Linked DNA regions of Sus scrofa. The protein of the gene in region 1 interacts with the protein of each later gene in a pairwise test. Links are inferred from orthologs where the notes say so. Each region holds a gene or a part of one and is shown on either strand. Other genes may lie near its edges.

Region 1 (4,049 bases):
CTGAACCAACAATTTAAAAATAATTCTTGCTCCTCTGACTAAAATTTTAATTGATTATTTCCTCTATGAGTAATATCATTATCACTAGGGCAGGTGGGGGAGTGAGAGGGAGAAAATATGTCTGTATTTACTTCAGACTCAGAAATGTGTCTAAAAAAATAGTCTCAAACATTTTGATAGTTAGACAAAATACCTCCTCTGTATGTACGTTCTTCCTTTTCAGAAACTTCTGCACTTGTTAATGTGAGTTTCTGCAAACTGGCTCAAACATACATTTAAGGAGTTGATAATTTCAGACTATACGCATCAGAATCTCAACGCTTTGTTAAAATAAGAGCTAAAGTTTCTTTGAAACGTCTTAAAAACAGACTCCTAATTCAACTCACATGATTAATACTGAACTTTTTAAAAAACAATTATATCATAAAAGCAAAAGATAATGACTCTGCCACCAAGTTTTGAAAAAAGGTATCTGCATGTTTCAGTCTCATGCTGCCTCTTGAAAAGAGGAAAAAAAAATTGTCTGAAGCATTTGAATTGTGAAAAATGTCTGCGATGAAAGTTTTTTCACTTTGGGTGAAAAAACATGGTACTCTCCCACAATCCAAATTAGTAAAGTTGAAAATCAAACATATTTTTGCTTTTAGAGTTGGATTCTTGTTGAGTGTTTCGGTGTTGTACTACAAAAGCTTATGGATTCGATTCATTTCTTCCTCTCACAAGATCATCCCATTGAGGCTCTATTTCAGTGGTGGCAATCCGAAACAGGGCGTGGAGGTGTTCGTCTGTCAATGGGTGGCTCAAGGTGTGCTGGTTTCGAGTCAAATATGAAAAAGCCTTTTCACAAATCTTGCTACTATCAAACAAGGATGCTACCTTACAGGCAACCCCTTTGATAATTGGGTAAGATTCAGCAGACAGTCCGGCATAGAATTGCCCCAAGTCTTTGGTTCTGTATTCGTTCCAAAGATTAGTATTTGCCTGAAGTTTTGTTAGCTCCACCCTTACTGAAATAGGTGCATATTCAGCTTTAAAGCTAAATGGATTTGCAAAAAGCTCTAAGTCCTTTTTAATGAACTTGAGGTCCTTGAAATGTCTCTCAAATTCTTTTTGTAGGCGACAGATCACTACTTGATACCTTTCAGGATCAAGTATTTTTTCATCTTCTTGAAGATGCTCTTTAAGCTCATCAACAACTTCTCTCAAGGCGGCAAAGTGTGTTAGATTTTTTTCCTCGATATGTCTCTGAAGTAAATTCAGCTTAACTTCAAAGGTACAAATATGGTCAAAGGCAGCAGCAGCAAAGACTTTACTTACTCTCAATAGTTCGCTGAGTTCTCGAAGGTGGTCCATAATATCCACCAAAAAGCCAAAGTCACAAAGCCACTGCTTGTCTGTGAAATGGACCGTTGTTGCCCCTATTGAAACCAAAAATGTTTTTATCTCTTTTCTTAAAGAAAATATTAGTTTTAAGGTCTTCCCTCTTCTAAGCCAATTGTTCAGACAGCGTCCATTAACCCTTTCACCATGCTCTGATTCCGATTCAGTTAGTAAAGCCTGAAATTCTGGCCGCCTAACGCCTCTGGTCTTAATCAAAACTATCCATTCAGATATGGCATTTATGATCTGATTAACATCCACATCGTAGGAGCTCAACAGTTCCAAGTGAAGAAACCCCGAATAATGGATAACATTCCAACAGTTGGGGCTTACAGCCTTTTCTCTCATGTATGACACCAGCCCTGAGTTCTCACCAATCATCCTCAGAGTGTGGGTCGTGGTCAGTCCAACCATCCGCTGCAGGCTAAGCCCTGCAGTTTGCAGGGCCTCAAGGATTGCCGCCATGAGGGCACCAACACTGAAGTGCTGAGTCAGGTTGATGATGGTCAGAAGCTCTTCCTGCACCTCTAAATCGTGGCCCACGCCGCGGACAAAGACGAGGAGGTAGTTCTCATAGGCCACAAAAGCCTGGTCGTCCAACGCAAGGGAATAGGCCTTAAAGTCCTTGGCTCGGTTAAAAAGCTGACTGCGTAGATTCTGGTTAATGTCTAGGACCCTCTGCTGCGTGATCTCCGGAGATAAATCAATGCCATCCATAACGCCTACGTGATCAGGCAGCACATCTCTGAGCATCACCTCCATGCACCGGTACACGAAGTCCCCCTCACCCCAGCCGCGACCCTTCAAGGCCAAGAGGCGGGTGAGCCCGAGGCCTGCACGAGCAGCTCTCTCCTCCGGGGTGAGCGGGGCGGCATCGGGCAAGTCGCCCTGACGCAGACGCTCCACCAGGGCCGCGCGCTCGCCCTCCGCCACATACCGCTCGTAGTAATCGTGCTCCGCCTCGTAGTGGTGCCTGACATCGGGTTCGCCATTGGCTACGACCAGGCGGCGACAGACCAGGCACAGGGCGCCTTCGCCTTCCGGAGGCTCCACAACCAGGTAACGCTGAGTCCACTCGGCCTGGAAACCCCGAGGCTCCTCGATTTCCATTTTGCTCCTCTTGGGCGTCATCCACATCTCACGGGAGACCACTGGATCTGGGCCGACCTCCCGGAGGCCGCAAGGAGAGGGGAGGAGCAGGAGCGATCCCCAAGCGCCAACTCCGCTCTGCGCCAGATCACCCCAGCTGGGGAAACCACTGGGGTTCCGGCACCTTGATTCCTATTGGCTGGAGATTTCGTATTCCCCTGCCGCAAGCATGAGCCAATAGGAAGAGCGGACACTGATTTTTAGCGCGCAGGCGCATATCCTTCTCGCTGCAAAGTGCACTAAAGCCGCCTAAGGAGGGCTAAGAGAACAGGAATCATGGAGCTAAGAACTTGACTGGCATTCAAGATGCCCAATCAGTACCTCTCTGTCCCGGAAGTGGTGTTGCCGCTAGAGGGCGGGACGGGACGGCGTCAGCAGTGTTGCTGGAAGGATGTGGGTGCGAAGCTCTAAGGAGATTGGCTGAAAGCCCTTCCAGTGAGCGTCTCACCGTTACACGGCCTGCTCTGGCGCCAAAATGTCGCAGGTACCGGGAGTTATCCGGCGGTTGGACGAGACAGTGGTGAACCGCATCGCGGCAGGGGAGGTTATCCAGCGGCCGGCTAATGCCATTAAGGAGATGATTGAGAACTGGTACGAAGGGAGGAGTCCAGGCTTCCTTAGAACCTAACGGGCCACTGCTCAGGATGGCGCGGACACGCCTCTCTGCCCTGAGTGGAGGGGTGTGCCGCGCGCCGCCGCCGCGGGGAGGCCGGGGTCCTGCCTTCCTCTCTCCCGGGTCCTCGAGCGTCCCTTCGAGACTTTAGGGTTGATGGGGGCACAAAGAGAGGGCGATACAGTATTGTTTTAATGGTGCCATCAACTAAGAGAAATTCTAAAATTATATGTGCAGAAGATGCAACTTTTTAAACGTTTAAAAAGCTTTTTACATTTAAGAAGAAAAAACACCCCTCTCTTCATCCTTCAGAGGGCGTCAGTTTCTTGCTTATTCTGTATACATTCAGAAGTACAATTCCTTTTTAATTTTTTTTTTCTTCTCGGGCCGCTCCCGCGGCATATGGAGGTTCCCAGGCTTGGGGTCCAATCGGAGCTGTAGCTGCCGGCCTACGCCAGAGCCACAGCAACGCGGGATCTGAGCCGCGTCTGCTACCTACACCACAGGTAGGTAGCAGACGCGTCTGCTCACAACAACACCAGATCCTTAACCCACTGAGCAAGGCCAGGGATGGAACCCGCAACCTCATGGCTCCTAGTCGGTTTCGTCAACCCCTGAGCCACGATGGGAACTCCTGAATTTTATTTTATTTTATTTTATTTTTTAATTTTATTTATTTTATTTTATTTTTTTTACTTTATTTATTTTATTTTATTTTTTATTTTATTTTATTTTATTTTACTTTATTTTATTTATTTATTTTATTTTATTTAATTTTATTTTTTTATTTTATTTATTTTATTTTATTTATTTTATTTTATTTTTGCCATTTCTTGGGCCGCTCCCAGGGCATATGGAGATTCCCAGGCTAGGGGTCTAATGGGAGCTGTAGCTGCCGGCCTACGTG
Region 2 (3,500 bases), on another chromosome or scaffold:
CTGAGAAAGGCACAAACAAGCCGGGCCCGTGATTCGACCTCAGCCTCGTGAGAAACCCTGAAGCAGAGGACTCAGTTAAGTGTGCCTCATCTCCTGACCCAGAAATTCTGAAATAATAAATGTGCGTTGTTTTAAGCCCCTGAGTTTGTGATAACTAATGCAGCAGTAGGTAATAATAAAGCACCTACGCAAAATGTGTCATTACCACGCAAGTCAGGACCTTCTGAAAATCTGAGAAACTTTCTGCGGTTAGAATCAACTACTGTACCATTAGTGGGGGAGAGAGGGAGGGGGGGGGGGAGGGAGAGAGAGAGAGAGAGAGAGAGAGAGAGAGAGAGAGAGAGAGAGAGAGAGAGAGAGAGAGAGAGAGAGTGTGTGTGTCCCCCACTTCCGGCAGCAGAGCAGCCAGAGGCTTTTGGAGCTGACTCCACACAGCCTCCTCCTATGAACAGAGTGACCAAGCATCACCTGTGTGACCTCGTCAGGACCTAGCACCAACCTACGCCAGGTCTTTGCAGACCCTTTACAGCTCACAAGGAGCAAAGCTTACAAAGAAAGGCCATGGCCTCCAAGATCACGGGGTTGTGCTATCGCCAAGCAGAGCAGCACAAAGGACATTCACCCCCAAAGAGGAATGCGGGCAATTGTGATTTCCAGTCCAGATCTCACTACACCCCTCCACTTTTATCTCCCTTTCCCAGCTGTACCCACAGCGTATGGACGTTCCCAGGCCATGGGTCAAATCCTGGCTGGAGCTTCACGCTACGCCACAGGGAACAGCAATGCTCGATCCTCAACCTACTGTGCCAGGCCGGGGATCGCACTGGTGCCCCCACAGAGACAAGCTGACCACTAACCCACTGTGCCACAGCAGGAACTCCCCTCACTCCTTTTATGGCACCTTGTGATAGACTGTATGGCACTGACAGAAGAACAGCATGTTGTCAACTTAGTCAACTTAGTCAACTGCACTGAACAGACAGACAGTGAGGGGGTCGAGTCCCACAAGAACTCGGTCAAAACCAAAGGAGCTCAGCCAACAGCCTCCGCTAATCCCTGAAAAATTCAGGTCAAAATGAATTTCAATCTAAGTTAACTCATAATCAACGAGTTAGCTGTTTTTCTTGGTTCTCACCCACTGTCCTACTCTCTCCTCTACAACATTCTAAAGCTGTCATTGAATGGATCCTTCCTGCTGCAGATGGCCGAACACTGGCCCTCCTGCTCACAGAGGCTAGACAGTGGATTCATGTCACGGTTAGTGGCAGCCTCCCACCCCCCTTCCAAGTCTAAATTCTGTGAGTTTAGAGGCTGACCCTCCTCAAACCTGGTCATCCCAGCTCAGCAGAAAGAGCAGGACGGAACAAGCCAAATCTTACCCACAGTGCAGAAGTGCCAGAATCACACCCTCTTTCGCTCGCCAGGCCAAGCTGTTTATCATGCGCCAGCCCCCAGTATCTGGCTCCCAGGTGAATGTGAAGCTGGAGTGATGGCATCAACTGTCAAACACCCGCAAGCTCGATCCAGAGCCTTCCAGTTACAAAAAGACTAACAACGGTCCTCTCTAGAGAGCGACGCACCAACCTTTTTGCAGGAAAAAGAAACCCACTTTCTCTAACGCTCTAACTTATGGGAGAAGAGACGGAGACCAAGGGGAAGGGCAGCGCACGGGCCAGCCCTCCGACACTGGCTGGCTGGGCGCCTGTGACCCCGAGGGGACCCCAGAAGACACGACGTGATGCTTTACCATCTCGATTAAAAGCAGTGGTGACAGCGTTTACACTCGCTCAGGACCACCTTCCCCAAGTTCCGGAGTCACCCACACGCCCGTGATTCTCACGCCACCCCCACGTCAAGGCAGAGATCGGGCAACAAGGAGGTGAGAGGTCCTTGCCGGGACAGGGCTGGTCAGGGTCCGCTCCCGGTGGAGATGAACCCCTGAAAGCTGGGCTCTGTGCTTGGAGGCAGCGCCGCGGGCTGGCTGAGCAACTTGTTCACGATGCTGACTTTAGCATCTTGCTTCTCGATGTCCTCATACGGAGTCCAGGACAAGTCGTGCTGTAGCTTGAAGGCACCCAGGAAGTCGTGAGGACGACTCGTCCCCCACTCCTGGAGGAGGCAAAGGAGTCCGTTCTGAGCAGGGCAGGAGGTGAGGAAACCGAGCTCATTCCCTAACTGCACCACAATTTTCGTTTTTGGCTTTTTTCACGGCAGACCAGTCAGAATCAATCTTGTAAAGCATTACATCACACGTCAGATCCCTCCCTTTTTTTTCTTCTTTTTTAGGGCCACACTCACGGCACATGGACATTCCCAGGAGAGGGGTCTAATTGGAGCTGTGGCCGCCACCCTCCACCACAGCCACAGCAGTACCAGAGCCAAGCTACATCTGCGACCCATACCACAGCTCACGGCAACACAGGATCCTTAACCCACTGAGCGAGGCCAGGGATAGAACCTGCATCCTCATGGATACTAGTCAGGTTCATTACCACTGAGCCACGATTGGAGCTCCCAAATTGCCCCCTTAACAGAGGTAATGACTGCGAAATGATTTAAGTACATGCATATTTTTTAGAGTCCTGTCTGGGCTCACAGCACCTCCAGTTTTCTAGCAAACCACTTAACCCCTAGGCCTACATTTTCCTGTACACACACCCCCACACACCCGAGCATTTCTCAAAGTCTAGAGGAGATTTCTGTGCAAAAATGAACTGCCCTTACCTTTGGAGAAATAATGGAAAAATACTTCTGACCACTCTCCCGTTTATAAAGATAGTAAATGTTGCCAGGTTTCTTCACTATATTACAAGCTACATGGTGCAGGTCAGCATCTCTGCGGGCATCCTCCAACACCTGAGAACCACAGAGATGTCAGCAATTACGTATTTGAAGTCACAGGCGCTCGTCGTCAATGAGCATCCCACTCGAAATGTGGAAACAGGGAGTTCCCATCGTGGCGCACTGGTTAACAAACCCGACTAGGAACCATGAGGTTACGGGTTCGATCCCTGGCCTTGCTCAGTGGGTTAGGGATCCGGCATTGCCTTGAGCTGTGGTGTAGGTCGCAGATGTGGCTCAGATCTGGCGTTGCTGTGGCTCGGGCGCAGACTGGCAGCTACAGCTCCGACTGGACCCCTAGCCTGGGAACCTCCATATGCTGCAGGAGAGGCCCTAGAAAAGGCAAAAAGACAAAAAACAAACAAACAAACATTCTTCCTCTTAATGCTTTACCTCACTGAGCTTTCTCCCAGTGAAAACCCTTGCACGTAACTTCTTGGGCTTATTCTATTTCACTCAGCCCTTCTATATTTCTAGAAGGTACTGAAAAAGCTACAATGATTATACGCAAGTTCAGTCAACCCTGGGAACTAAATGAAGAAAATGAAAGCCTACCTAAAAGCGAGACTTACCTTCCTGGCTTGTTCTTGCAAATGTTCTATTTGCTCAGCTATGACTGTCAGCTTGTTGGTGGCATTTGCTCGGACAAATTCATCAGC

Evidence for each region. The genes of interacting proteins can lie anywhere in the genome.
Region 2: the proteins of EPM2AIP1 (region 1) and C6H1orf50 interact in binary tests that used the Homo sapiens proteins (3 or more experiments, as listed by UniProt). The two-hybrid records come from large-scale screens. The link is inferred for Sus scrofa from reciprocal best matches to the Homo sapiens genes EPM2AIP1 and C1orf50.

What each region holds. Positions count from the first base shown.
Region 1 is NC_010455.5:21,876,614-21,880,662, reverse strand, and holds the start of EPM2AIP1 (EPM2A-interacting protein 1), read right to left. Parts: upstream 2,801-4,049; 5' UTR 2,518-2,800; coding exon 691-2,517; 3' UTR 1-690.
Region 2 is NC_010448.4:168,661,580-168,665,079, forward strand, and holds part of C6H1orf50 (uncharacterized protein C1orf50 homolog), read right to left. Parts: coding exon 3,414-3,500; intron 2,857-3,413; coding exon 2,725-2,856; intron 2,110-2,724; coding exon 1,909-2,109; 3' UTR 1-1,908.